4 linked regions of the Tamandua tetradactyla genome follow. The protein of the gene in region 2 binds, or shares a complex with, the protein of the main gene of each other region. Links are inferred from orthologs where the notes say so. Each region holds a gene or a part of one and is shown on either strand. Other genes may lie near its edges.

Region 1 (7,695 bases), on a different chromosome or scaffold from region 2:
ATGATAAGTTCTAGAGTCTCTTAAAGAATGGGTACAGTGCAAAAAGTTACCTGGGGAAGAACAAGACATTTCCAGTAATGTAAAAAAAAAAAAAAAAAAAAGCATGGCTGAAAGCTAAGAAGTGATGCCTATTATGAAGGACGTTAGCCTGGCTAAGGTAGAGAACGTATGAGGAGGGTAATGGGAAATATGTTTGGATAGTTGGGTGGTGCTAACTGAATTACTGAGTATACGACAAGAGAGTATCAAGATAGGAGGCACTAATTAGTTGGGAGCTATTTGTTTTGCAGGAAGGAAGTATAATGACTAAATCAGTATTTGAATGAATTTAGTCTGTCATGATTAGACAGGCTGGACATGGACAAGGAAGGCAGAGCTGAGTATCAGGAAATCTAAGCAAGAGTCTGTTGAAATAATCTGGACTATAGCAAGTGAAAATTAGGTTAAGGAAGCTAGAAATGGAAATGTGGTAAAGGGTCATGCAAACGGTGTGACCAAGTGATTGTGAAAACCTTGTGACTGATCCTCCTTTTATCCAGCATATGGGTAGATGAATAAGAAAATGAAAATAAAAAATAAATTAATGAGGGAGAGTAAGAGGTATGGAATGATTTGGGTGTTCTTTCTTATTTTTATTGTTCTGGAGTAAAGAAAATGTTCAACAGTTGATTGTGGTGATGAATGCACCACCATATGATGACACTGTGAACCAATGATTGTACACTTTGGATGATTATATGGTATATGAATATAGCCCAATAAAATTGCATTAAAAAGAGACATGCAAAAACTTCTTAAAAGTAATGGAAAATTTGGGATAGGAAGAGTACCTTGGGAAACAATTGTGACTCAATTTCCAACCTTTATTATGCACAATCATATCTTAATTCATAGAAAGAAGAATGTAGAGGGGGTAAAGGTGGAATCACCTCCAACGAATAAAAACATGTTTTTTATTACTTTTTATTCTTTAGAGCTGCTGGCGATGTATTGCAACGTCTGAATGTACTAACTTGAAACAGCAAGCCATGGCTTTTTCCCGCAAGATCAAAAGGCCGTTCTTTGGAAGCCCCAAAAGGCATGAACTCTCCAGAGGAAATACCATGCTCAGGGCTCCCAGAAGTCAAATTTGAGTACCAGTAGCAAAGAAGGTTAGTTTGCCTCAAATTTCATGGGAATATACAAGGATAAAGGTCATTGCTAAGGCAGCCAGGACTCAAATCACCCAGGGACCTAACACCTAAAGTCAACACCTCCTGTAAGATATAGAAAAAAAATACAGAATATTACAGATGGCAGTCAATCTTGACAAAATCTCCAACAGGAGCTAAGTCATGGAAGCATCTCACTGAAGTCAGCCACGTAAACAATCCCAGGGAAAATCCTGCTTGAGGACTGTAGAAGCCCAAGTAATGCTGGCAAAAGAGGTCTGTCCAATAAAATAGGTTGAAATCTCAATGTTAAAAGTAGGTGGCAAATAACCACGTGTCACTTCCAGCTTGATGCTGAATTTTAAATGTGAAATAGTAATTATTCCAATTTCTGAAAAGCTAATACCTGGATGGTGCAATGGTGGCTCAATGGCAGAATTCTTGCCTGCCATGCCAGAGACCCGGGTTCGATTCCAGGTGCCTGCCCATGTGGAAAAAAAGATTTCCAAAGATTCCTCAGAGACCTTGACCAAAACAGCAAGAGGAAAATATTCATATCGTTCAGGCTTGTGGTGTTTCAGTGACTTTTAGAGAGGAGGCCTCACTCTGTATTCAACCCCAACCCCACTTTCTTTCTTGTACTACTGCCGAAAGCAGATACCTGATGCTGTAATGCAAAGTAAATAAGATTCTTAAAAGTTATTTTTAATGATGATTCTAGAAGACAGTAGCCCTCCAATGCAATTTCTCTTGCTTTCTGGGTGCGTGCATGACATGGGTGTGTGTGTGTGTGTGTGTGTGTACACAGAACAGTTTTCTCTCTTAGCTGGCCAATGTTTATAACTCTAATAATGCTATTGATGTTTACTGAATAGCTCTATGTTATTCTTTTGTTGTTTTCGAGAACAAATAAAAACCATGGCTGTATTTTTCACCAAATAAAAAACATCTAATTTAGTTTACTTTTCTGTTATCGTCTATCAATTTTCCCTCAATGTGGAGCAAGTTTTAACTATTTGTTTTATTTAAAAGGGAGTGTGTTGCTATTACTTTTAAAGTTGAGAAAAAAAGTGTAAATGTTGGACTAACAGCTGCAATTGTAAATAGCGGCACTATTATAGACTAAAATTGAGACTTTTCAGTGTTTGTTCAAGATGCTCTAAAATTTCCAGTGTACCCACATAGCACAATCATGATCTTGGGCTTTGGCAAAAAAGCCTAACCACACATTCCCCTCAGCAGAGGTGACAGCAGCTCTCCATTATGTGGCTAAAAGTCACTTTTTAACCATTCCCTATGGCTAGTCCTGTGACAAATACTATGGACAACATCCAAGCTAGTAAGATTTTGTCCCTACTCTAGTAGAATTTAAAATTTTGATTTTTATCACTTCATTAGGTCCAGAACATTGAACCCCTGAGTGAAGCAACATGGGCTAATGGCTGTATTAAAAGCCCCAGCTCATTAGTGGTTCTGTGTTCTGGGCACCCAGGGGAGATGGCTGAGGAACCAGCTTCCTCTACTCTCCAGCTCTTCCCTTCCTCCCTGCCCTAAACACAGATGCACCTTGAATTTTATGTCAAAAAGACTTTAGTCACGGATTGAAAACGTGTAACATAAAATCTCATAAACTTGCTGCTGACATTCTAGGTTACATGGAAAATTAGGAGTTCATTATTTGCATACAATGCAGAAAAATGTAAACTTCTATTCCCAAAGGAGTTGATCAGTTTGAGTCCGTAAGCAACATAGGAAGTCTTAGCAAAATGCATACCCCATCAGAGCCAGGGTATGTTTCCACCAAAAAGCCATGGATGGGGTATTTACTTGAATGAAAATTTATATGAAGTATCCTGTTGGTCCTTTCTTGCTAGGGAGCACATAAAAATCCTATATATTCAGGTACTAGTATCAATATAGATACTAAGGCAATGGGCAAAAAGAGATTGTTTTATTATTTGTGCTCTCTTATGTGGCTTTCAGAGTGGACTCTCTGTTCTTGGGTGACTATAAATAAACTAGGCTGGTATCAGTCTCTTCCATTGGAGACAGGCCCTTTGCAACGTAAAAGCAGTGTCACAGGATTTGCATAAATCATTATGTACCTGTCTTTCCACTATTAATGCTATCATAACATGGCTTTGGAGAGATGAGATACACAAAGTTTTGACTATGCTTATGTATCTGTAACCTACTATTTTTATGTTAAAAAGTAAACAAAGCAGGAATATGTATATAACCTGGCAGCCTATTTCCTTGCTGTATGATTATGCAAAAACTCACCTGTTCAAATTTTGCAGGTGCTCCCATGAGAAGAGCAGCACTGACAAGCTGATGGACTGACTCTGTATTCCAGCATTTTCTAGCAAAAAGTCTGAAAATATGCAATGAAAGACTTGCCTACTATAGCCACAAGTAGCTAGCTCTGTTTATAAGGAAGACATTGATTGAAACCGATGAAGACCTTTGTGCTGCACATAAATAAGCCATATAGACACACTCACTGCCCTCAAGTCTATAGATCGTTAAGAAGTACATAATATCTAATGGGGTAGCGTGGAACATATAAAGGACTACTCACTGTTCTTACTTTTAGGAATAATTGAATTACCCAATATTTCAAGGATCATTGCTTTTCCTTCCCTTGGTACCAAATCTATAAATTTCCTTCCAGCTGGCAATTATTGCTTAATGGCCCCAAAGAGTTAATGCACTATCTAAATTGAACACAATTCAGTACCTACACCAAGTGGGCCCTCAATTAATGTTGATGGATTGACTTTCTCAAAGGCAGTAAAAGCTCAATTTATAGAGATAGAACCTTTGAGATTAAAATCAATCATTTAACAGAGGTATATGGTGAATTCTATTTTTTGACAATACAAGAATAAATATGAGCTATATTTATTTATTCTTGCTCTTCAGAAATGTTTGTTTTATAGTTAACTGACAGTAAAACATTTCCATTGCTAATAGTCTAAACATAAGGGTATGTGATCTGAATCTAAGCACAAAGAGAAGAATAAGACTTGGATAATTTAATATGAATATTGATTGTGATGTAGGAATGATTATGAGGAATTTGGTGACTCAAAAATTTGAAGATAAGCAGCAAACATTTTTTAATAGTAATCATAACTTAATCAGAGTAGCAAAGAGAGCTATTCGTGAGAAATATTCTGTTTGAATTGCTCATTGTAGATAATCTTGAAAGATTTTTTGCCACCATCTGTATTATTTCATGTTATTCTTTAAGAAGGCAAGCAGGTTTTGAAAAAAATGTGCCAGCTGTGGCCATTTAATTTGAAAGCATAATGAATTTCCTCTGCAGTTTCCATCAGGATTGTAGGGTTTAGCCTCTTGATCAGGTGACAGATCAGTAAGTGTTTCCTTAGTCAAAGCAGAATTTTAAAGGCCAAGAGAATGGACTGTTGGGTACTTCAGCAAAACATTGCTTTTGCATCCTTTGTCCACACCTAAGCATTGATTTGGGAAAGTTTGAACAAATAACTGATGAGTGTCTAACATCACAAGATGGGGAGCGGAATTAGTTCAGAGAGTAAAGAGTCAGCCAAAAGGTCAAAAGAACTGGAGAAAAAGCTTCAGGAAGATGCTGCGCGAGATGCAAGAACTGTCAAGTTACTGCTATTAGGTAATATATATTTTCTTCCTTTTACTTTTAAAACACTGATTTTTTTTCAATTGTGATGTATTTACTTCTCAAAATTTAATTTCAATTTACTATTATATGGGAGATATATTATAAAAATGCGTTTGGGACCTTGAATAGACTTTACATGCCCTCTATAAATACTTAATAACATATTTTTCTGTTTAGTATTTTATTTCATGTCCTTATTACTCAGAAAGTCAAATATTTATTAGATGACTCTATTTCCTGATGTCAATAATATAATTTAATATTATTGGAAGAAACAAGCACATTTATTATTTTATAGCACCCTAGTCATTTTCAACTTTTTAATATAGAAAAAACACTTTAATTATGTCATAAAGATCTATGATATTTTGTGTGAACACAAATATATTGCGTTATTTGACATCAAAGTTAATACGCTATTCACTTACTTGTGCTATTAAAATCAACTGGTCTCAACCAATTTAAGGATATGATAAAGTACTTTCAATGTATTAATAATGGTATTCAGTCTCCTGAATACTGCCCATGATCTTGCCTATATAGCTCAATTACACACAATTTGTGTTCTTATAGGACATTTGTATATTTATTCAGAATAGAAAATGTTTCTCTCTTATATTTTAATTCCCTCAAAACTCAGCATGCTGCTTTACCACAGCTATGACTTCAATAAATATTCAATGACATGAAAGAACGAAAATAACCTCCATGCTACACATCCTTCTAAACTTAAAAATTTAACACATAGAAGGTCACACTGAAAGCAGAAATGTTTTTCAATAAAAATAAAGACCTATAAAAATAATACAAAACAAGAACTTTAATTTAGTCACAGTTGTGGGTGTTCTCTGTTCTTATACAAAAAAAAAAGGCCTTTATTTCATTTCAAAATTGTGACTCCTTCACACAACAAAATGTCTTGGTTTTTTGTTTTAAATTTTTCCTTTACTACGTTTAATTTGCTACCAGTATCAGGAGTCTCATAAATCAGCTGTGAGGTTCCCAGCTCCTCAAAGGCAAGAGACTTCTCTGTTCCTTTAGACACAAGTTCTGTGGCTGCACCCATGAAACTGCACTTTCAAGTAACCGCCTAGAGGTTGGTGACAGAAGGATGTTGGGTGAGCACTTATAAAACCAGTATAAGATTCCAAAGTATTGGCTGAGGTTTTTGATCAAGAGTGGAAGTAATTCAGGCATAGAAAAAGAAAAGAAAAGGTGGGAAGGAAAATGAAACATTCTTATAAAAGCATTTCATGTATTTCTTGTACTAAGAACACTGGCATAAGAGTGTTGATAAAATTCATTTAAAAATTCCCTATGTTTGTATAAAATTTCAGAAAATAGACCTACTTTTTCAATATGCCAATTGATTTTAAATCCAATTAGTGCTGGGTTGAATCTGGGAGAGAGTAAATTTTGTACAGAAGTATAAAAGAATCATTAACAGTACAATTACAATTTTGACTTTTCCAAGACAATCGTGATTTCCTGCATTCAGTTCTTCATTGCCATAAAACATGCTTGTATTTATTTTATTCCAACACTATGTGCACTGAATCTTCCTATCACTTCTTTATTGCTTCAAAACGATTAAAATTCTCTTAAGTTTTTCTTGTTTCAATTACAATCCAAACATTTTAGTTATCCCTTATGGACTCTGAATTCTGTCATGATTCAATTGCTAAATTCAAATCAAAAGGTCTTTCAATATCTCTTCTTTAGTTCACATTTTCAAATGGAACTAAAGTTCTCTAAAAGTTAATTTTTATATTCATTTTGGCCACATAATGACAGCAAAGATATCCATGGTACTAAACAAAACCTTCCAAACACTACACAGCCAGTACCCCTCTGCCAACGAAGACTATTTAATTTGTCTCATCATTGAAGCAATGGTATTCATTAGTGTGGTCTGAACCAGAGTTTTCAAAGTTTATTAATGCGCATGTATCATGTGAGACTAACCGTTTGAAATCCGATTCTGAGTCTCACAAAAAATAAAAAATCTAAAGATTGCTTTTAACAGAATTAATTCCTCATTTTGAATCTGTTCTTATTATTTGGTGAATGTCTAAGTCCTTAAACACCTAACACCAGTGTTACAAGTCTAATATATACCGTGAACTTGTTGTACCATTTGAAATATTGGACACAAGATTTCCCTAAATCTGAAGAACTATAAAAGTGCTACTTTACAATGAAAGAATCACCTTGCAGACAGATTTCTTTTTTATTATGCCTTTCAGACCTTAATTAAAATTACAGAACAGTGCTAAAACTGTTTCTTTAGCAAAAAGTAGGCTTCTAGAAAATACTGGAGCTGATGCAAGTAAAAAGCATTTGATAGCTGCTTTCAAGACAATAATACCATGTGCTTAAAAAAAAAAAGTGAGCCTGTAAACATGCCACAGAAAAGATTACAGTTTAATAAGAAAACAAAATTCTACTTTGTAGACTTCCTAAGGTAGTTATTTGAGTCTTTATTTATAAATAATATTTGACTAAAACTTTTTTATTCAAAAGAAATACCTATCATTAATTATGGAGGGATTCAGCATGTCAATTTCTGTTTTTCTTATGTCTCCTCTCTTTTATGTCTTTTACTTCAAATTTCAGCTTCTGATTTATTTCTTATTTTATGGCACTTCTTCTCTTTGTAGTTTTGCAAATTTGCATTATAAGAACTGGATTAGATTTGCAGCCCCATAGGAAGTATGGCTTCTTTCTGATCACCAGTGATAAGAGAAGAATCTTGCAAACAATATATAGAGCACACTCTTGAATAACACTTTCAGTTGTTTACAGTATTTTACTGATCCCAATTTAAAACCTTTCTTTCCTTCCTCCAATAATAGTTTTTATTTTTTATTTTGTGTTTCTAAA
Region 2 (7,482 bases):
TGGGCCTCGGCCTGGTCTGTCTCTACTGCCCAGAAGCTCTTCTCCCAGGCCAGCCACTCTGGGGAGCTCTTCTGGCTCCCTTCACGTCTGCCCCTGGCTCCTCGGGGCTCCCACAGCCTCAGGGCTGGGAGCAAATGCCACTCCTCACAGTTATTATTTTCCCCTTGTCCACTGTCCCCTGAGACTGGAAGCCCCTCCAGGAAAGGGACTGTGTTGGACTCATCACAGAGTCCCCATTGCCCAGCCCAGGGCCTGACCTGCAGATGGTGTTTGGCAGATGTTGAGATTAGAAAGGGAAGGAGGGTAGGAGAGAAGTTTCCTCTCCTTCCTTTATTGCCCCCTTAACTCTCCAGCTCACTCCCTAACTCAGCCTTGACAATGGAGGCAGGTGGGGCTCAGCCACGGGAGGGAAACGAGGAGGAGGAGGTGGCTGCTGACCCAGCAGCACCTTTCAGGCTGGGCTTAAGAGCTATTTGCGTGCCTGCAGCTAAGCCCCTAATCCTCCACGGGCGGTGTCAGAGCCCCACACCTGGGGCCCCCCCAAGGTGCCAGGGCTCGGGGAAGCCTGCAAAGTGCTCAGAGACAGCCACCTCCTGGGGAGCCCGGTCCCCACCTCTCCCAGCTCGTCATGCTCCCAGCCTGGGTTTCTGGGCTCAGCCAACAATGTGCCCAGGGACCCCTCTCTGGACTTCCTACCCCGGGGAAATGAAAGAGCTCAGGCTTTGGGGTCAGAACTGTCTCGGATAAGTTCCAGCTGAGGAGATCAACCTTAGTGGTCAGAGGGCATGACCCCACCTCTCAAGGGCCAGGCATGTTTATTCATTCATTCAACAAACATTTGTGAGCACTCAGTTGGCTGGAAGCTGGCAGTGCAGCAGTGATCAGGCTGGGCTAGCCCTGATTCTAGAATAAGATGGGCAGCCAAGAGGAGACAGACAAAAAATAAGAAAGTCAACTGCTGATGGCAATTAGTATCATGTAGAAAACAGAATATGATCAGGTGGGGAGGCTGGTTTTAGGGTGGTCAAAAGAGGCCTTTCCAAAGACGTGTTCTGTGAGCTGAGACAAGGAGATTCAGTGAGACAACAGCATCACCTAACATTCATCAAGTACTTACCAAGCACTGCAAACAGTCCTGCAAGGGAGGTGCTATTATTATTCCCATTTTACAGACTAGGAAACTGAGGCAGGGGAAGGGAAGGGGCTGAGCCAAAGCCAGGTACATGGCCTATGTCTCATCTCCAAACCTTAGTTCAGATGCCAGCATGTTTCCAGAGGACACTCGGTGTGGGGAGGACAGAAGGCCTTAATTGTAAGGTGTGTACGTCCCTAACCTGGCACTGGTGGGGCAGCAGGAAAGCAGGTTAGGCTCGCCCTGCCTGTGGGTGGGTGAGGATGCTCAGAGGTTTCCTAGTCACAGCCAACTGAGGCCAACAGAGAGGAAACAGGGTCTCAGGGTCACTCAGAGACATTTGTCCGCCCCAGGCCTGTCTGTCCAGCCTTTGGGCCTTTTCCATCACCCCAGCTGGGTTCTGTTGTAGTCATTTATACCATAGTGTGAATAGCTGGCAGATCTGTCCCCGAGCGCTATCTTTGATCAGGGGCTCAGGTCGGGGAGAGGGGAGGCATGAGCAGGCCCAAGGATGCCTCATAAAGCCACCAGGATGGACTGAAGGGGCATCAGGGGACCCAACAACTCACCGTGGGATGTAGCCGGGAGGCTCAGAGAAGTGACCTCTAATAACACTTCCAGCTCATTCTGGGAGCCTGTTCTCAGAAAGAAGAGCATTTTTTATTTAAAAAAAAAGTCCTTTAACATACTTTGCAGAATACAGAGCACCTGTTACTTCCGTGTTTGGCCTTTAATCCTCCCCATAGCCTCTCGAGGTTGGGACTAGTAAATGCTCTTACAGAGGAAGAAACCGAGACTTGGTGTACCCATCCAAAAATATTTATTGAACACCTACCATGTGCCAGCCTTTGGAGATACAAAGGTGACCAAAAGAGACAAATCTCTTTCCAGTGGTGGGGAAAAATATTCACGAGGCTCCTGCCCCATGCCAGGCACCACACAGGACTCTGGGGATCCCCTCGTGAACGAGACAGACCCAGGCTGGCCCTGGTGGAGCTCAGCCTGGGAGATGCACAAGAGACACATGGGCGGAACAGAAATAATGCTTCCAAACCGCCACGCGCATTAGGAAGGAGCCCAGCTGGGTGCTGAGATCCTGGAGGGCTGGCGTGAGGCTGGGAGGTTGGGCCCGGGAAATCCGGGCAGGCCTTCATCCTCTGTCCCTCACACCTCCCCACCCTGCGGGGTCCACATCAGAATCAAACCTTCCACTTTGACCTCATTAGCGCTGGGCCTAATCACCTTCCCCCCGGGGGGGAGGTCGGCACCCCACGCGCTGCACTCATTCCACCAAACCCACCTGTGGAACAAGCCCTGGAGGCCACCGACTTGCCCGGATGAGGGAGGCCTCTGCAGGCCTGGGTGGGCTGGAGGGAAGGGAGATGCCCTGTTCTGAGCAGAGAGGAGGGAGGAGTCCCAGGGAGGGAAGAGAGAGCGGGTGAGAGGGCTTCGGGGAGGGTGGCCTAGGGACAGGGACACTCACCCTGGCCGGCTCAATTCCTGCCGTGGGGCCTTCGGACGTGGGGTTTCCTCTGCCTGGCCACCTCCCGCTCCCCCGTCTCAGCATGCTGGCTCCATCCATCGTTTAGCTCTCAGCTCAAACTTGCCCTCTCCGGGGTAGACCTTCCCCAGCTATTCACTATAAAACAGCGCGTGGAAGGGTGGGGGAGTCTTTACAGGGCCTCTGCTTTATTTTCTTGTTATTCTCTGAGCATTTCCTAATTTTATTGGTTCCCTGACTTATTTGTGGCCTCCTCATGGCCCCCCACTAAAATGCAAACCTCCTGAGGGCCGGGCTTGCTTGATCCCTGCTGGGTCTCCCTGAAACAGAGTAGGCACTTGATAAACATTTGTCAAATACCCTCCCATAGGATTCACGGGTGGTTCAGTGGTAGAATGCTTGTCTTCCACATGGTCATGTGGGAGACCCGGGTTCGCTTCCTGGGCCATGCACAAAAGAAAAGATAAAAATACACCCACCCCCCAACACATACACACACACATGCTGGGGCCTGCCGGGAGCCCCACATTGGTCCCTCATCTAACTGGCATGACGTTCCTGGCTGGTGTTACCACCCGCCTCTTTTATGAACAAGGAGAAATGGTGACTTGCCACCTTCAGCCCCCAAGTTGTCCGTCCCTGAAGCTCATTCTCTCCCCACTCCACAGTGCACCCCCCACCCGGGAGCAGCCCTCAGACTGCCCCGTCCACTGCTGGGACTGTGGCACACAGCACCATGCCTGAGGGGCCCTGTGCCCTCCCCACAGCTCCGGCACCCCCTCCTGGTCCCCTCATCCGCCCTGACTCCCTCCAAGTCATGTGTGCTGGGCATTCAAGCCTCCTTTCGCTCAGCCCTCAGATTTGCCCAGCCCACTCCCCATTGCCCTCCGGATAAAGTCAGTTTTGGGGTTGGCATTCGAGGGCCATCAGAGCTGGCCCCAACCCTTCCCCTGCCCCTCAGCTCCTGTATGGCCCCCAGGCCTCTGCTTAGCCCTCTCTGCGCACAGGCATGCCCCTTTGGCAATCTAGCTAACCACTCCCCGGCCCTCAAGAACCCAAGCGCGGCCTCCCCTGACTGCCTCCTCCAGTGCCCATGGCCTCACACACACCCCCCTTGGGCTGCAACCGATTTTCTCCCCATTCAAGCCCTCCCTGGTCTGTGAGCCCCTCCAGGCAGGGCCATTCCTTTCCCACGCTGTGTACCACGTAAATGTTTAATGATCAAGTGATGGGTGAGTGGATTCCAATTCAATGCAACAAAGCCTTCACAAACTCCTGTGCATTTGGCCCTGGGGGCATCACAGCTGGCAGGCTGTAGCTTCTGCCCTCACCACGCTCCCAATCTGCTGAGGTAAGCTGGTGCCAGGGCCCAGGGAAGAGGGGAACCGTGCAGCAACTGAAGGAAGGAAGGGACAGGCGAGGGAGAGACTCGAACTCAGCTCACACCAAGCCAGGGAGAAACGGGCAGGGGCTCCAAAGGTCCCCTGGGACCCAGTCCAGAGCCATCAGAGGGACAGACAAGCCGGCAGGGGAGGCCCTGTTTCCCTTTCCCAGGCCCCCAGCCCCTCCCCTCCGCACCCCAAGGCTTCTGCCTGGTGTCACCTTGGAACCCCAACCTCGGAAGCCAATTAGGCTCCCGTGGTGGTGCGGGGATTATTAATATGCTTAATAACAGCCCCGATCTCCCAGGTGCTGACTCAGCCCGGAGCGTGGGGGGGGGGGAGGTCACTTTATCAGGGCCTGGGGGGTGGGGGGGCGGGTGTCAGAAGCCGGAGGCTGTCCAGCCGGAGCCCTGGGTGGCCGAGCTCGGGCCTCAGCTGCATTCCTGGGCCGCCGCCGCCATGAACGGGACCGAGGGCCCCAACTTCTACGTGCCCTTCTCCAACAAGAGCGGCGTGGTGCGCAGCCCCTTCGAGCACCCGCAGTACTACCTGGCCGAGCCGTGGCAGTTCTCCATGCTGGCCGCCTACATGTTCCTGCTCATCGTGCTCGGCTTCCCCATCAACTTCCTCACGCTCTATGTCACCATCCAGCACAAGAAGTTGCGCACGCCCCTCAACTACATCCTGCTCAACCTGGCCATTGCCGACCTCTTCATGGTCTTCGGCGGCTTCACCACCACCCTCTACACCTCCCTGCACGGCTACTTCATCTTCGGGCCCACGGGCTGCAATCTGGAGGGCTTCTTTGCCACCCTAGGCGGTAAGGGCCGGGGTGCCCCAGCGGGGTGAGGGGTGGGGAGCGGACCCTGGGGCCGTCTCGGGCCACGGGGTGGCGGCTGAGAGAGGTCTTCTCCGACCATGAGCCGAGGCTCTCGTTTACCCAATCAATAAAAGCTGTTAGGGATAAAGCCGGGCTGCCTGACGACAAAGACAGCCACCCAACAGTCTTTATTTCATTGGCATTGGGGCTAATTGCCGCATTTTTTACAGCAGAGAAACCTAGGGTCAGGGACAAGTCAAGCCTTGAGGAAGTCTACACGGGGACGGGGGTGGGGTGGGGAGCAGAGCTGAGACTGGATTCCACATCTCCGCAGCTCTGCGGGCCGTTTTCTGAGTACCAAGCCTTGTGCTTCCCTCGGAACACCTTCACCAGACCCCGGGGGCTAGGGGTGGCCAGACTTAGTCCTCCCCTGGCCTGTAATCTGACTCCCTTCCCAGCCCATTGATTCTTGGGCCCCCCACCAAACTCTCTGCCTTGCTTACATGCTTTTTGTGTCGGGAAGCTCATCACCTGAAGCAACCCCTTTCATAGGCGGGCCTTAGAATTGGGTGACAATCTGTACTTTTAAAAGGTACTTTTGAATATTTTCTTTCATTTGACTGGAAACTGGCGGGGGTCCTGCAGGGATGATGGAATCTACTTAGCAGATGAGACAAGTGAGGTGTGGAAAGGGGCACGAGACTGGGCAGGGCAGAGCCTCAGTTTCCTGGTCTTGAGTCAGGAATGTCGCCCAGGCAAGCAGGGGATGCGAGAGGTAAGATGCTACAAAGCCAGGGTGTTGGGTGGGGATGACCCTGCCCACCTTGCTTTGCCTGTCCCTCATGCAGCCGGCATGCCGCCTGCCCCTCTTCTCAGGCTCTGGCCACCGTCGGAATGTTTGTCACCTTCAATGCTCATCTCTGACCCTCACTAGGATCAGAAGATGGGGGCGGGACAGAGGGCCCCCAGGCAGGTGGGCACCCCTCTGCAGCGTCAGTTCCAGTTTACAAGCGTCTTGGAATAGTCAGTCGTTCGTGGTGTTTCCTTTCATGCTCGGAAATGTCCCAGTTCAGTTGATGAGTTAAACGGCCACCCTACCTATTGAGCTCCTGGGGTGACATGAATGAAGAAGTTATTTCATTCTTCCTCTGGGAAAAGTGTTACCCAATCCTTTATGGCACCTAGGAGAGGGTCCTCATGCTTAGGTTATTTCAGTTTCCTATAAGGGGTAGGCTACTATGCAAGAGATAGGGAAGGGGGTGTCCTTCACCTCTACACTGGGAGCCTGCACCTCTACACTCCTTCTACTAAAGAACCCTGCCTTTTGCCCCATGAAGGACGTGGTCTTCTGTTAAACCTCCCTAAAGGGCTCCACAGTGTCTGAATTTGCTCTGCTCACTCCTTCTTGGCATGCTGGGTCCCACCACCCCCTCCCCACCCGCCTCCCCTTCCCTCCTCTTCTCAGTGTCCAGACTTCTACCTGCTTCAGTTTATCTTTCTGGGAGTGCTCCCAAACATGGATGAGTGCTCCCATATTTGGGATGAATGCTCCCTGCTTGGGAGGTGTGCTCCCCACCTGAGAGGAGTGCTCCCTCCCCAGACTGGTATGTGGGGTCCAGATAGGTGGTGCCCTGACCAATTTGGCTGGCTGCCTTGCAGGTGAAATTGCCCTGTGGTCCTTGGTGGTCCTGGCCATCGAGAGGTACGTGGTGGTGTGTAAGCCCATGAGCAACTTCCGCTTCGGGGAGAACCATGCCATCATGGGCGTCGCGTTCACGTGGGTCATGGCCCTGGCCTGTGCTGCACCCCCGCTCGTTGGATGGTCCAGGTAATGGGACTGAGCAGAAGGGAAGGGTCCCCAGCCAGACTTCAGACCCAGGTGGTCTGGTTCCAGACACCGAGCTTTGATATCCTCTGCCTCAAGTGCCTGCCCTGGCAACTCTCTCCCAGGATAGGGATTTGGGCAGGGGGAGGAAAGCCTGAGGACCCCCAGGCTGCCTTGAGGACTGGTCCCGGTACCCGAGTCCCTGTGTCAAGGAGAATCTAAGGTGCCCCAAGGCTTCACCTTGGTGGTGCCCCTAATCCCCAGTTAAGCCCCGGGCCAAGTGCAATCCTCTTTGGCCCAGGGCCTCATGGGCAGCTCCTTCTGACCTTGGTCCTCAACACCAGTGAGGCCAAAACATCTCAGTGCAGATGGTGACACTGTGATCGGGATGGGGTCCACTCCAGGCTGCCGTCTCCATACGGGGGCGAGATGGGGGCCACCAGTTTGGACAACCATGACTCTAGGGCTTGTGGTCAAAGAAGTGGCTCCTGAGGCCACATTTCCCCATGCTTTGGGGAAAATCCCATTCTTGCCTCCCTTTCATCCTCTCTCACCCTTCCTGGAGTCAATTTCTCAGCTCTGGCTAAACTCCAGCCCATCTCCACCTCCTCTTTCCTTGTCTTCTCCAGTCTGGCACCCTTACATCCTCCATAGGCTCAGCCAGCAGATGCCCTAGGTTTTCTGGTGTCATTCCAATGTCACCATGCTCAGAATTATTGAAAAGGCCGAAACACATGCCCCAGGGGCCTCCTGCTTTCCAGAGCTGCTCAGAGGGCCTAGAGAAACCACCCTTACCCAGTTCCTAGAGTGAGACTCCAACTG
Region 3 (7,252 bases), on a different chromosome or scaffold from region 2:
ATGTTTGTTTCCATGAGGGGAATGAAGAGACTAGAGAGAAAAAATAGATTCTGTCTCTTTAAGACTTCTGTGTTGCCTTTGCTTGAGCGGATTTGAACAATGGCTGTCCTCAGAGCTGGCTCCCAGTGAACTGAAATAGCTGATCAAAAGCGGTGATTAGTGATCTGATCACACACACCCCTCTCCCTGATTTTGGAGGACTAGGTCCTTAGAGGAATCCTGGCACCAGCAAGTTGCATCAGGAGTCTGCGCTGCAGTCCCCACTGCTGTCTGCCACACGGCTAGGAGATAGGGGATAGTAGCTGCTGTATAGATGGTGAAATTCACTAGTATTTTTCACGATTTCCCAGCCTCTTCCTCCAGCTCTTCCCTGGATACTGCCCAATATTCCAATAAACTCCACAGTTTCAAAATAGTTCATTCAGATAGTTCCTGCCAGCTCAATAGTTGTTTTGATAGAGAGACTGATTCCTGGAGCTTTCTACTTTGCCTTCTTCTCACAATCCAGATATATGTTTAAATGTATAACAGTTTTATATTTTAACCTTTCTGTTGTCATCAGTGTAATACGTGATTATCGAAGAAGATTGGAAATTTATGAAATTTACAGGCAAGGAAATTTTTAAAAAAATACTTGAAGCTTTATTTTCTCACCACACAGAGACCCCAAAGTTAGCTCCTTGCAGATTATGCATTTGTATGTAAACATGCATATATATTGTGATAGGTTGGATTACCCAGAATAAAACATGTTTGTAATTAACCCTACTTCTGTGGGTATGAACACACTGTAAATAGAATCTTTTGAAGATGTTAGTTTTAGTTAAGGTGTGGCCAACTGAATCAGGGTGGGTCTTAATCCTGTTATGGAGGTATCATAGGAATAAAGCCATGAGAAGGAGCCAGAAGCTAGAAGTCAGTGGAACCCAGAAGAGAAAGGAGAGGACATCATGTGATGGGACAGCCAAGGACCCCAAGGATGCCAGCTGGCCAGAACGCTACCAACCCAGGGAGGAAGCAAGCCTTCCAGTCTCTGAAACCATGAGCCAATAAATTCCCATTGTTAAACCAACTCATTGTGTGGTATTTATTTTAACAGCAGGGTGTCTAAGACATATATGTATATGTGTATATATAGCACATGTGCATGTGTATATGTTTACCAAAATGTGATCATACCACACATACTGTTCCACAACCACCTGTTTTCAGTCCCAATAATTTCTATAAATTATTCAATAAATTCTATCCCAATAATTTCACTTCACTGACACTCACTTGGCCCAAAGTGTCCTATGCATGCTGTTTGTCCAACTGGGCATCCAATCTGGGACCACAAATTGCATCTGGATGTTGAGTCTCATCGGTGTCTTTTAGTCTAGGACAGTCCCTTTTCTGTATCACTGATTATGGAAGACACTAGCCTCTTTACGAATTTGTCTGGTAGCTCTCTATGCTCTACACTTTCCATAAAACTAGAAGTGATGTCTAAAGGCTTGATAGTTTGTGCAGTTAGGATTCCACCTTGCGATGAGAAAGTAATCCATGTGATGTAGAAACAGCCATTTCCCCATCAACTCTTCGCCTAATGATTTTAACACCAATGAATAATCCTTGTCTGTGTTGACAATTTCACCAAGGTTTCTCAAGTGATGTTTTTCTAATTCTGTCATTTCTTTTACATTTATTAGCTGGCATTTTGTAAAGAAAAGTTTTATCGATTAAAAAGAAGTTTCCCCCAATTTTTAGGTGGTTGTACTGTTGTAGCTCAATAACTCACTGATTCAGTCAACATCTGTTAGGACCCCAGTTCTAGAAGCTGGAAATGAAGCAGGTATAAAACAAAAAACCTGTATACTCCTGGAACTTGCATTTGAGGAAGGGGGACAAACAGTAAACAAGCTGAATAAGTAAACTATCTTGTATGTTAGATGGTTATGAGTGCTACAGAGAAAAGTAATGCAGTAAAGGGAGAGAAAAGGGTTTGGGTAGGTGATTTGCAATAATGGATAGAGTGACCAGAGATATTCTTGCTGGAAAGGTTACAATGAAGTAAAGAACTAAAGGAATTAAGGGAGTAAATCATGTGGCTATGTGTGGGAAGAGTACTCCAGAAAAGAAAGTAGCAAAAGCAAAGACCCTGAGGCAGGAGTATGCCTGGCATGTTTAGACAAAAAAACGGCAGTGAACTGGAGCAAAGTGGACGAGGGCTAGAGAGGGGAGAAATGAGGTCAGAGGTCCAGGGGAGCCGGGTTGTGCACGGCCTCACGGACACAGCCCTGACTCAGGTGAGTAGGGTTTGGATAGGTGCTGGCACCCCAAGGCTCAGAACAGATGCTCTGCTTTCACTTGCTCTATCCACAGACAGCAGGTCAAGTTCAGTTCATCCACATGTTAGTGGCTGCAGCTCTTGTCCATTCATTCCCTGAGTGCCCTTGGGAGCCAGGCATTGTTCCAGGCCATGGGAATAAAAGATGAGAGAAACAAAAACGACAAGGGCTCCTATTCTCAGGCAGCACAGAGTCAAGTAAGGAAAGAGACCATAAAATAATCACCGAGTCAAATGCAACTGGCTTCTAACCTAGTCCAGGAAGTTGGGAAGGCTCCCTGAGGAAGTGATTCCCGAGTCAAGAGCTGAAGGGTAAAGAGTAAATGAGAAGAAGATTGCTCCAGGTAGAGAGTGTAGAGTAGGACAACGTGGAAAGGCAGGTAAGGAAGGGCATGAGGAGTTGAGGCTTGCTGCTGTGTCCTGAGAGCAGTGGGGAACCACTGGAAAAGTCTAGGCAGGAGGGTGATAGGAGTGGGCTCAGGCCTGGAAGTGTTGCCCTTACATGGAGAATGGCCTGGAGGGAGAGAGATGTCTGTAGTCAGAAGTCAGGACACTACGGTCAACAGAGGGGCCTGGACTCAGGAGGACTGGGTAGAGATGGGACGATGAAGACAGGCTGCAGAGGCATCAGGGACATGGATAGTCCATGCCAGCTGGATAGGCTGCTGGTGGAGCAAAGGTGTATCCAGCTTGGCTTGCACAGTACCAGGGTTCATCTTGAGGCTGACATTTCTCCTTGACCCTTCTGTGTCCCCAACCTCAAGGTTGCATTAGCTGCCTGCCAAGTTTAATTAAGTTTGTTAAGCACTTGAAAATCCCCTGTCCTGGTGATACCTGGGAATAAAGGGATAACCAGTCTATTTCCAGAACCCAAAGAGGTTTAGTATAAAAAGTAGCTTTCATTGAGCTGCTGTCCCTCCCACAGCACCTTCCCCAGGCTGGTTTGACAGCGCATGTGTCTGCAAGATCCTCCGCAAGGAGACTCACCTCACTTAAGGCTAAGAACTGCTGAAATGACCAATTCAACCATCTTGAGGTTAATCTAATTGCCATTCTGCTCCTTAAGTGGGATTTGGTTTCTGAACGCTGAGTCCCTGGAGCTCGTCATTGTCTCAAGATCCACTACAAATCCCCTGTGCACATCAGCCAGACACCTCAGTGCATCTCGGGGTGGGGTCAGTTGGATAAATAGAGCCAGCTCATTCAGAAGCAGGGGCTAGCTGCTCATCGGTGGAGGCCACAGGGACACTTTCTCCACCTCTCACCGGAGTCCATCCCATTGTTTGCTGACAAACCATAAGGTATAAGATAACCCTTGTCTAAACCTTCCCAGAACCCTTGGTGGGGGTGGGGTCAAGGAAAGGCAAGTGGACGTCCTAATGGACAGTTTCACATGGTCATTCTCTTCCAGTTTCCATGGGACTTGACTTGTTAAAGATACGCTGAGTGCATTTAACCCCAGACAGCTATGACTGTCTCTTAATTGTCTATAGGACTGGGGAATGGAGAAAGAGACAGCAGGAAAAGGGAAGTGTTGCTTAGCATGCATTGCTGAGTAGAACTCTTGTGGATTGAATATATTTTGAAAACCATATCTGTAATGTGATCATGTGGCGGGTGTCAGGAACTTTTTCTACCTCATTGCCAAAGATTCCTGGAGAGATTTACCATGAAATGTTTCAGGCTTATCAAAAAAGAATGTATAAAACACTTTTTAAAAAAGCACACTGCATTAAATGTTTAAAAACTAAATCAAGACCTTAATTCAGTCAAACATGGGTTTTGAGGCAGGTAGAAGGATATGCCCAATGATGGGCAACAACTCATGATTGGGTTTATATTTAGGATCTCTTTACCTTTTCCCAGCACACTATCACCTGACACATACCCTCAAGGTGAAAGAAGTTGCCAGGGCCAGGTACCATGGCAGGCAGCATGAAGACGAGTAAGTCTAGCCAAAATCACGTTATCTTCAAGAAGATCTCCAGGGACAAATCGGTAAGTGGTACAGGAGGGAGTGGGGATGATGGTAATTACTGTACAAAATATAACTAAATGGAGCCTTTTCAAAAATAGACATGATTAACACCAAAACCCTGTTCACATCTTCTCTTTAATCTCATCAATACTGTATGGTCCTTTGACCCTTCATTTCTCCCCAGTCTGTCAGTCCCCACCCCAACCTTCACATTTACTTCTTTTCCTAGCCAGCTTTGAACCCATTCCAAACAGGGTCCTGTCAGTACTTGAAACTCACCCTGCTCTTTGTCTATCATCTCACCTGCCTGGGGAGAGCCTCATGCAGATCAATGCGATGCCCTGCCTTCCCCAGCTGCCCAGTCTCAAGCCTCAGCTGAGCCTTCAGTGCCTGGACAAGTGAGGCCAGCACAGATGCTCCCTACCTGTGCACCACCCCTGCACTGTGGCTGTCCTGCCACCGAGGCCCTGGTAACCATCCATTGTTGGTTCCATCAGGGGCACGTTAGATAGTCTAGGAGTGTCCATTGGCTTCCTGGCGTGGGAAGCCTGATGGAGGCACAGTTGCAATCCACCAAAGCGGTGAGGGTCCTCTGTGACAAGATCCTGGCTCTACTTGCCAGCTTCATGGGGGCCGACAGTCTAGCTCAGTGCTGTTCTATGGAAATACGATACAAGCCTCATGTATAATTAAAAATCTCTAGAAAAGGTAAGAAGGAACAGACAACATTTCCTTTAATACTATATTTTATTTAATTCAATATATCCAAAAGTGATCATTTCAACATATAAATTGCATAGAAATTATTGATGATATGTTTTACCTTATTTTATCCTTATAAGTCATTGAAACTGGTGTGTATTTCATACTCCCAGCACTTCTCAATTTGGACTAGCCATATTCTGAGCCACAACTGACTAGCAGCTACCGTGTTGGACAGTACAGGTCTAGATCGTTCTTCCAGCTGACTTCTAAAGCAACACTGGGCCTAAAGGAAACTCTCTGACCCTTGTTGTGCACACAGGAGAGCCAGGCTTCACGCAGACACCCTCCTGCTTTCCTCTTCTGTCCTAGCTGGGCCATTCCACCATTTCCATCAAGTCCTCTGATTCTATGGGTGACATATTGGGTGCCCCATGCCTTTCGTTCTCCAGAGTCTTTTTCCAGCTTGTGATTTTCAACAGCCCACATCACTTTGACTTCTGGCAGAAGAGGAAAGACAATCACTTCTGCTGGTCCTCTTTGTTTCTTCATTTTTTTCCTCGCGCATAGTTAGACATCCTTTGAATGGAGTACTTTGCAATTTTTTTGCATATCAGTAGTCACAGGAGGTAGAAAATAATTCATCAATTTAATGTCTTGTGTTATGGTCACACCGACTACTCTTGGTATTAGGATCAATCAGCTGCAATCTATGTATGGCACCACACATGGCTTACCCGGGCCCTGGGCCGCTTTCCCTGTGGTTCTCTCCACTCTGCACTCTTCTTTGTCCTCAGGCTGATAGCAAGATGGTTGCCCCAGCTCCACGCATCTCTCCTCACTTGGCAATATCCAGAAGAAGGAAGTCTCTTTTGCTCCCAGGGGTTTCTTTTTAAGAATGAAGAAACCTTTCCCAGAAGCCCACAGCAGACCTTCTGTTATATTTCATTGACCAAAACTGGGTCACATGCTGTTTTGATTTGCTAAAGCTGCTGGAATGTAACCTACCAGAAATGGGTTGGTTTTTACAAAGGGGATTTACTAGGTTACAAATGTACAGTTCTAAGGCCATGAAAATGTCCAGATTAAGGCGTCAAAAGGAAGATACATTTTCAGAGGAAAGTCTGCCGGCATCAGGTGTTCTGTCACATGGGAAGGCACGTGGCAATATCTGCTGGTCCTTCTCTCCTCCTTTGGTTTCAATGGCTCACTCTCTCTCCTCTGGAGCTTTTCTCTGGATTTTTTTCCTTAGCTTCTCTCTGCTCTCTGAGTTTCATCTGTCTTTTATCCTCTCATAGAGGACTCCAACAAGGGGATTAAGACTCACCCTGAATGTCTTGGGTCACATCTCCAGGGGAACAACCTAATCATAGGTCTTACCCAGCAATAGGTCTGCCCAACAGGGATGGATTAAGAGAACATGGCCTTTTATGGGGTACATAATAGATTCAGACCAGGACACATGCCCGCCCTAAACCAATTCCAAGCAAAAGGAATTAGATGGTCATAGTTGGATCAGGCCAATCAGGAATCACACCCTGGGTCTAACTCCTTTTAGCACACAACACATGGAGGATGGTAGAACCTGAATTCAATTGGTAGCTGCTGTCCAGGAAGAAGGGGAGTATGGCTCTAAGGGGACAACCAGCAAGGTCATCTCTGGTCTCACATGATCCAGTCCCCCTTCTATACCTGCTTCTGTCCTTCTTCCCTTCTGATTACAGCAGAAGAGGTGTTCTTGCTCCCACCTGAGGTTCACCACTTGATTTCACCCTGGTCTCATGGCCAAATAGCTCCTTGGGTCCTCAGCTATCAGCCCCTCTCTGTCTGGACTTGTTATTAACCTCTCTCTCTCCCTCTCTTCTCTGAGCATGAAAACAAGAACAAAAACATTCCCTGACCCTATCCTCTTCGCAGCAATCTCCTATCTCTCTTTTTTTTCACAATCAAAGCATCTTAAAAACAAAGTAAACACCCATTCTCTCAACCTTCTCCCCTCCTGTTTTGGTTTGCTAAAGCTGCTGGAATGCAATATACCAGAAATGGGTTGGCTTTTACAATAGGGATTTATTAACTTACATTGTACAGTTCTTAGGCCATGAAAATGTCCAAATTAAGGCATTGATAAGATGATACCTGGACTCTGAAGACAGGCTAATGGCATCTGGGACACCTGTGTCACACGGGAAGGCACATGGCCAGCGTCTGCTGGCCCTTCACTCCTGGGTTTCGTTGCTTTCACC
Region 4 (7,520 bases), on a different chromosome or scaffold from region 2:
CATTTTAGCTTGGACTCTCATAATCTTTTTTTTTCCTTTTGGTGGATGGTCCAGGAATCAAACCTGGGTCTCCCGCATGGAAGGCGAGCATTCTACCACTGAGCCACCTGTGCACCCTCGTGATTTCTTAATAGAGGAATCCTACCCACTTTTCCTTGCCAGTTGTTCCATCTACAATTTCATGATTTTAACAATAATTCTCACACAGGGTGTGAGGCTAGATCACAGAATGCAAGCAGTCTGAAGATACATTTGTGTGGCAACCACTCTCTGAAGAATAGATGCATTACTTTGGTTCTTAAACTATAGAGATGCTGTCAAAATGAGCAAAATATGAATTCTCTCTGAATGTCTTTGAACTTAGTCTTTCCCAGTTAGTCTCTGAATTTGCAGGAGAATGCACGTATGTGTTGAACTGTACATCTGTAATCAAAATGACCTTTTATAGGCAGGTGCTTGTAGGGAGGAGAGATAGGGAGAGTGACATTGTTAGAGGACATTTCTCCCAAAGCGTGCTCAGAAAAAGTAAGACTAGATGCTTCATAAAAATGGGTTTCCAACAATGTGGGGAACCCGTACTTCTACCTCCACATGGCAGCGACAAGGCAGCTCTTTGCCTTCCCACCTACGTGGTGTCACAGGAAGCCTGGTGGGGACCCAGGACTTTCAGCATTGTCCAGCGGTAACAAGGCTCCCTCACAGTGGAGAACGTGGGGAGCCAGAACTCCCAGTCCTCCCCAGCAGCAGTGAGGAGCTCCCTGCCTTGTGCATCAAGGGTGTCAAATATGGAACCTGGACTTTTTCCTCTACCTGGCAGCAGCAGGGCAGTGCTCCCTATACCCCTGGCAGAGTGGTGTCAAGGAAAACCAACTAAACAGAAGGTTTAAATAAGATCTTGTGTCTCACATAATAACATGAAGATGCACAAGTGTCAGTAAAAAGTCACTCAAGAAACAAGATCTCAAACTGAACAACCACAAAAAAGACAATAAGTATGAACACAGAGAATGAGAGAGATGTTAAAATTATCTGGCAAAGATTTTAAAGCAGCCATGGCAAAAAGGCTTCAACAAGCAATTATGAAGATGCTTGAAAATAAACAAACCAGAAAGCCTCAGTAAAGAAATGAAAAGTCTCAGCAGAGAAATTGGAGATATGAAAAAGAACAAACTGGAAATGTTAGAGCTGAAAAATAAAATTATCAAAATTAAAAGCTTAATGAATGGACACAGCAGCAGAATGAAGAACTATCAAAACTCAGTAAAAAGCAAATGATCCAGTTAGGACATGAGCAAAAAAACATGAAGAGACATTTTACCAGAGAGAATATTCCAATGGCAAAGAAGCACATGAGAAGATGTTCATCTCATTAGGCATTTAATGCAAATGAAAACCATGAAATATAACTACACGCCTATCAGAATGGCTGAAATAAAAAATAGAATACCACGTGATGATATTGTGAGCCGTTGATTGTATGTTAGACAATCTCAAGGAGTCTACCAAAAAGCTCTTCCAGCTAAGTGTATTCAGCAAGGTCACAGGGAAGCACCTAAAAATCAATTGCATTTCTCTATATTTGTGTAAACATTTGTCAGTAAAAAAGTATTTAAAAAAATAGAACACCAAATGCTAGCGATGACGTGAAGAAACTGGATTACTCATACATTGTTGGTAGGAACATAAAATGCAACAACCCCTCTGGAAGTCAGTTTGACAGTTTCTTAAAAAACTAGACATGCAGCTGTCATATATGACCAGGAGTTGCACACCTGGGCGTTTATCCCAGAGAAATGAAGACTTATGTTCATATAAAAACCTGTACATGAATGCTCAAAGCAGCCTTATTTGTAATATCAAGAAGTAGAAAATGTTCTATAGGGTGCGTGGTTAAACAGACTGCCATACATCCACACGTTAGCACACTACTACAATAAAAATGCAACAACTTGGATAAAGCACCAGAGAATTACACTGAAGGGGAAAAAAGCCAATCCCAAAAGGTTACATGCTGTAGATTCATTGCATTTATTTTAACATTATGGATATGGAGAACAGATTTAGTGGTTGCCAGGAATTAAAGAGGGGAGGGGACCAGGGAGGGGGAAGTGGGCCTGGCTGTAAAAGAGCAGCAAAAGGGGCCCCTGAGGTCGTGGTCCATGTCAATGTCTTGGCAGTGACACTGTCCGACTGGTTTGCAAGATGTTCTCGTTGGAGTAGCGAGGTAGTGGGTACACGGACTCTCTCCCAACCATCTTACAATTGCATAAACCCACAATTATCTCAAAATAAAAAACTTAATGAAAAAAAAGGTGGGGGATTCCAGAGTCAAATAAGTTGGGAAACACTGCATACTTTACTTCTCTTAGAGAACCATGTTCATTCTCGAATCTCTGAATAAGTCCTGCAATAAAGAAACATGGTTAAATTTTCTTCAGTCTAATGTTTCCCACGCCATTTAAGCGAGGAACAGCCCCCTTCCCCAGGGTAAATCTTCATGTTAATCCAGGAATTTGGGTTCCTTAGATCCTTGCTACACACAGCACCATCCTGGGCCAGCTGCATCCATGTCACCCGTGAACTTGTTCGAAATACAGAATGTTGGTCCCTACCCCAGAGCCACTGAAGCAGGATCTTCATTTTAACAAGATCTCCAGGTGGATTCATCTGCATGTTCAAGTTTGAGAAATATTGACTTGGAACATATTTTGGGAATCACTGGTGTAGGGTGACATTTTCCAAAGCACCGGGAAAACCACCGTCCCGTTCCAAACCTAATGGGGCCGACAGGAAGTTTCCTAGGGAAAACTGAATCTCAGAGTGATTGGCCCAAGGTCACCTGCTCTCAGGTAGCAAGGCTGGGACAAGCATAGGTCTCCTGGGGGAATAATGTAACAATATCAGCTTCAAATATTTACTCACTCAATCCACCTGCCTTAAACCTCCTTTGTTAGGAGTGGGGTCATGACCTCTCAGCACAGCACGTTCTCGTTTACATTTTTCCAATTGTGATAGAGGATCCCACCTGTCTTCCCTTGCTCCCCCCCACCCTTAAGGAATCCCGTTGTCCTCCTGGTTCCTCCTTTCCTATGACTGATTTGAGGTGGGGCTGGGCTAGACGGCCTCCTGAGCCCTTCCAGCTCAGGCATCCTTTGTTTCTGAGACTCACCACTACCTCCTCTCTTTAAGCTGTATTAGATCCTCTATTCACTTCCTCATCATTCATCCACAAGCTACTGCGCACCCATTATGTACTAGGTGCTGCGGACACAGTGGCAACAGGACAGACGTGGTCTTGCCCTCGGGCCCCTGGCATTCTGTTCTGTGGCAGCGTCCCCAGCTTTGTCCCCAGCTCTTCATTCCTTCAGACACACCTGCTATCTCTGCACAGGGTCTCAGACCCTTGCTAGAGGCCCCCACGTCCCCTGCCTCTCCGACCAAATCTCATCTGAACATTTCTCCTGGCAATTCTGCCCCGCCAGCAATGAGAAGAGGAAAAATGCTGACATGAGAAGAAGAAAAACGAGGCTGAGCGGGATTCCTCAGCCAGTACCTGCGCCCACTACAGGACTTTTTAATCTGCAGATCAGTTCAAGGAAACACGTGGTCAACCACACTGCTCTCTTGGCTAATTTAAAATCAGGTGTCAGGTCGAGAGGAATCTCAGCCCTCCTACACTGGTAGGAAGTAGAACCTAGCTGGGTCGGCGCTTTCACCCCAGGACATAGGCAGCAGCTTTTCATCGTCCATTTTTTCTCTCTCATTAAATTCTTGCTATCAGGTTGTTTTCTTCTCATGCGCGTCCTTCTTTTTTTTGTTTTAAGGATAAGAATGAAGTACAGCCTGGGGGGAAAAAAAAAACAGCAGCCATCTTTAGCGACTTAAGCTTTGTCCCTGGGGCCTCCCTCCTCCCCTTCACATTTGGGCTGTGTCTTAGGGCCTCTCTGCAGACCTCAAGTTTCTGGAAAGACCTTGTAGCCCCGCGTCCTTCCAGCCAGGAGACAGGCAGAGGCGTCCCACCCCACCCCCGTTTGTTTCAGAGGGTCGAACCCAAGAGCAACTCAGAAGGAATGTGCGGCTCGGAATTCCTCAGCGCGGGGCGCGCAGGGAGCACGGGGCGCGCAGGGAGCACGGGCGTTGATTGCAGAGAAAAGACATGGGGCCGGAGGAAAGAGCGCGGAGTTGAATTATCGGTCTAATCCGTTTAGGAGGTGGCTTAGGGGGATTGTCTTTGTCCGGCGCTGGCCGGTCACCTCTAACTCGGCTCCCCGCCGTCACAGCCCGGGGGCCCGGGCTTAGCCAGCCGCGGCGTCGGGCCCTGGGGCTGCGGACACTCGCCAGCGGCTCCTCCAGGCTGCGCCGCGCCGCCGGGACGCCTGCCCTGTCCCCACGAGGGCAGCAAGGGCGCAGCAGGCCAAGGGCGGCGACGGGTCAGTCCCCACCTGAAGGCGCGCTCTAGGGCCCGGCGCCGGCCGGGGCTTCTCATGCCTGAGGCGGACGCGGGACGCCGCCAGGATGGATTTTGGGTCCTTGGAGACCGTGGTGGCCAATTCTGCCTTCATCGCGGCGCGCTGCAGTTTCGACGGGAGCAGCGCGCAGGCCCCCCGGGACAGGAAGTACCTGGCCAAGCTCAGGCTGCCCCCCCTCTCCAAGTGCGAGGCCCTCCGCGGGGGCCTCAGCCTCGAGTTTGAAAGTGTGTGCTGCGAGCAGCCCATCGGCAAGCGGCTCTTCCAGCAGTTCCTAAAGACGGAGGAGAGGCACGAGCCGGCCTTGGAGCTCTGGAAGGACATCGAGGACTACGACACGACAGATGATGACCTCCGGCTGCAGAAGGCCCAGGCCATCCTGGCCAAGTACTTGGACCCCCAGGCCAAACTGTTCTGCCGCTTTCTGGATGAGGCAATGACGGCCAAGGTCAAGGAGGGGCACGCGGCCGTGCAGGACGGGCTCTTCCAGCCCCTCCTCGACGCCACCCTGGCGCACCTGAGCCAAGCCCCTTTCCAGGGGTACCTGGGCAGTCTGTACTTCCAGCGGTTCCTCCAGTGGAAGTGGCTGGAGGCCCAGCCCCTGGGGGAGGACTGGTTTCTTGACTTCAGGATTCTGGGGAAAGGGGGATTTGGGGAGGTGTCAGTCTGCCAGATGAAGGCCACTGGCAAGTTGTATGCCTGTAAAAAACTGAATAAGAAGAGGCTGAAGAAAAGGAAGGGGTACCAAGTAAGCAGCCGTGGTAGTTCACAGCAAGTGCAAAGTAAATGGCTTTTAGATTCCCGGGGCAGGGCAGGGTGGGGCTGGGAAGTGTCAGCATTTAGATTAGAGCCTAGAGGACGAATCTGTGTCCCGTGTCTCCAAACAGGGCCCCCTTAGCTGGCTTTCATGCCCGAGGTAGAAGGCAACCTTGCCTTGGAAAGGATGGTAACCTTGCCCTTTGAACATCCAAACCCTCTTCAGTTGTGCAATCGTTGGCTAGACTTCTAGTCCATCAGTGTTTACTCATATACCACGTTTAAATATCACACATCAAAATTAGTCCCTTTAAACATTTTTTTTTTTTGGTGGCATTGCAGCCTGCTGTTTTCCAGCCACAATGTGGGGCAAGGAGGATGCAAAGTGTATGACCTCTAAATTCCCTCCCAGGTCTGTGATTCAACTTGCCCAGCTGCTTTTAATAACTAACCTTGGGCTTGGAACATGGACAGGGGATTTGCAGATTTCTCTGTTCAGAAACCGATCTTAGCATTTTTAAAATTTATTATGATGATGATTATTATGTTTTGGTGTGGCTGATGTTCTGCATTTGATCGTCTTTGTTTTTACCAACACCACTGAAATACAATAGCAAGTTTAGGAGAAACAGTGTCTTATAGGGAAAGGTTACTTAGGGGATTGGTGTTCCAGATGCTCTATCCTGGCTTTCTGAAAGACTCTCCCTAAAGCTCTAGCTTATAAGGTGATGGAGAATGCACAAGAAATTGTGGCAGGATTTGGGTCAATCAAATATCACTTTGATTGACATGTTTACAGAGGCAGAGCCCCTCCCTAACACAGGGGTGAGGATTTTTGCTTTTGTTTTTGTTTTTCCTGAATGCACAGGGAATGGGAGTATAGGGAAGGCACATTCAGGTTGTCCTAAGTTTTATCCTCTTTTCCTAACTGGCGTCAGAATGTCCATTTAGGGCAGGATCAGGGAAAGCTGATTAAAATGCCTTAGGTCGGCATCTCCTGAAGTAGCCTCCCCAGCTGCACTTTCTGCTCCATAAGCTTCTCTTTCCCTTTTGAGTTGCACGGCACAGACAGTGTTGAGGGCAGACAAGGTGTTTAGGGTTAAACAGCAGCCACCCCAAGCATCCGCCAGCTAGGGGTCGTCTTGACAGTAGGCTAGGCACACCTGTGATTTAGGCCCATTAGCTAAAGGTTAAAGGTCAGATGCCTGTGGCAACCAGTTGAATGAAGGTATCCAGACAAATCTACAGCGCTCTCACTGTGGGGCTTGGAGTGGAAGTAATTATCCCTCCTACTTATTTAACTGTAATTTTAATCCCCTGAGTTCAGTATCGTTGTTGAACACAAAGTACTTCCATTGAATTCTAGGTGGAAAGGAGCCTCCTTCAACATGAAGAATTCCTTCTGCAAAAAGGAATCTGCTTTCTTTTTCTAAACCCAGCTTTTAAGAACAGTGAAACAGGATGAGGTATCAAAATAGAGATAAAAAACTAAATGGAGATGTGAGGTGGTTTGGAAGGGCACTGTACAATTGTTCTCCAACTCCACAGATCCCTGAACAGGAGGAAAGGAGCAGAGATTGCAGCAAGACAAGGTGGTTAGACATAAGGAAGAACTGTAAGGGAAAGCAGATACATTTAGAGACATTTAGAGCTGCCAGGGGAGGAGGTGGGATCTTAATAGGATATTTTTAAAAACTGCTATATTTGAGCATTGCCTTGCCTGGAAACTGATTCAGAAGACCTGGGGAAGTCTTCTGCTCATTCATGAATTTCGCATGTCAGGTTTTCTGTCTGTGAAAAAGAAAGTGACACTGTTTATCAGTTATTTGCAAAGTATTTAAAAAAAAATCTCCAGCCATGTTTCTATTTTGTTGTGCTTGCTACTCAGTAGGCAGCACTGCAGAGCACATGGCCTAAAGGAGGCTTTCTTGTCTTGTGGAACTTGACCTTTTATGGGGATGGCAATTTTCCCCCTAAACCTGGATACTTACTCAACATCTTGCTTTTCAGGGTGCCATGGTAGAAAAGAAGATTCTAGCGAAACTCCATAGCAGGTTTATAGTCTCTCTGGCCTATGCGTTTGAAACCAAAACTGACCTGTGTCTGGTGATGACCCTCATGAATGGAGGCGACATAAGGTAAATGGAACCTTCCCCAGAAGGGGGAGGGTGTCCTGGCTGTCACCTGGGATGGAGTGAGCCCCACAGGCCAAGCTTGGTAAGAGGATCTCTGGGGCCCGGCCAGGCCTGCTGCCCACTCAGGCAGAGCTTGCGCCGTTCAGGATGTGCCATCGGAGGG

What was found.
Region 1: the proteins of RHO (region 2) and GNAT3 are in contact, whole or in part, in a crystal structure (PDB 4A4M), measured with the Bos taurus proteins. The link is inferred for Tamandua tetradactyla from reciprocal best matches to the Homo sapiens genes RHO and GNAT3. Residues at the interface, in NP_001014890.1 of Bos taurus: Leu72, Arg135, Val138, Val139, Lys141, Thr229, Val230, Ala233, Thr242, Thr243, Lys245, Ala246, Glu249, Val250, Asn310, Lys311, Gln312; in NP_001103452.1 of Bos taurus: Ile344, Asn347, Leu348, Lys349, Asp350, Cys351, Gly352, Leu353, Phe354.
Region 3: the proteins of RHO (region 2) and SAG are in contact, whole or in part, in a crystal structure (PDB 4PXF), measured with the Bos taurus proteins. The link is inferred for Tamandua tetradactyla from reciprocal best matches to the Homo sapiens genes RHO and SAG. Residues at the interface, in NP_001014890.1 of Bos taurus: Arg135, Val138, Val139, Lys141, Leu226, Glu249, Val250, Met253, Met309, Asn310, Lys311, Gln312; in XP_010802144.1 of Bos taurus: Asp71, Ile72, Met75, Gly76, Leu77.
Region 4: the proteins of RHO (region 2) and GRK1 are in contact, whole or in part, in a cryo-EM structure (PDB 7MT8), measured with the Bos taurus proteins. The link is inferred for Tamandua tetradactyla from reciprocal best matches to the Homo sapiens genes RHO and GRK1. Residues at the interface, in NP_001014890.1 of Bos taurus: Lys66, Lys67, Arg69, Thr70, Arg135, Val137, Val138, Val139, Lys141, Ser144, Asn145, Phe146, Arg147, Phe148, Glu150, His152, Leu226, Thr229, Val230, Ala233, Gln236, Gln237, Glu239, Thr243, Ala246, Val250, Met257, Ile305, Tyr306, Met309; in NP_776598.1 of Bos taurus: Leu6, Glu7, Thr8, Val9, Val10, Ser13, Ala14, Ile16, Ala17, Ala18, Arg19, Gly20, Asp23, Ala24, Glu184, Asp185, Trp186, Phe187, Leu188, Asp189, Phe190, Val192, Arg195, Glu200, Gln205, Met206, Lys207, Lys221, Arg222, Thr256.

The regions. Positions count from the first base shown.
Region 1 is NC_135327.1:137,177,367-137,185,061, forward strand, and holds the start of GNAT3 (guanine nucleotide-binding protein G(t) subunit alpha-3), read left to right. Parts: upstream 1-4,685; coding exon 4,686-4,803; intron 4,804-7,695. UniProt on the Homo sapiens protein: Guanine nucleotide-binding protein (G protein) alpha subunit playing a prominent role in bitter and sweet taste transduction as well as in umami (monosodium glutamate, monopotassium glutamate, and inosine monophosphate) taste transduction.
Region 2 is NC_135335.1:35,766,571-35,774,052, reverse strand, and holds the start of RHO (rhodopsin), read left to right. Parts: upstream 1-4,474; coding exon 4,475-4,835; intron 4,836-6,494; coding exon 6,495-6,663; intron 6,664-7,482. UniProt on the Homo sapiens protein: Photoreceptor required for image-forming vision at low light intensity. Required for photoreceptor cell viability after birth.
Region 3 is NC_135329.1:209,372,693-209,379,944, forward strand, and holds the start of SAG (S-arrestin), read left to right. Parts: upstream 1-4,252; coding exon 4,253-4,327; intron 4,328-7,252. UniProt on the Homo sapiens protein: Binds to photoactivated, phosphorylated RHO and terminates RHO signaling via G-proteins by competing with G-proteins for the same binding site on RHO. May play a role in preventing light-dependent degeneration of retinal photoreceptor cells.
Region 4 is NC_135330.1:184,470,471-184,477,990, forward strand, and holds the start of GRK1 (rhodopsin kinase GRK1), read left to right. Parts: upstream 1-4,515; coding exon 4,516-5,214; intron 5,215-7,232; coding exon 7,233-7,360; intron 7,361-7,520. UniProt on the Homo sapiens protein: Retina-specific kinase involved in the signal turnoff via phosphorylation of rhodopsin (RHO), the G protein- coupled receptor that initiates the phototransduction cascade.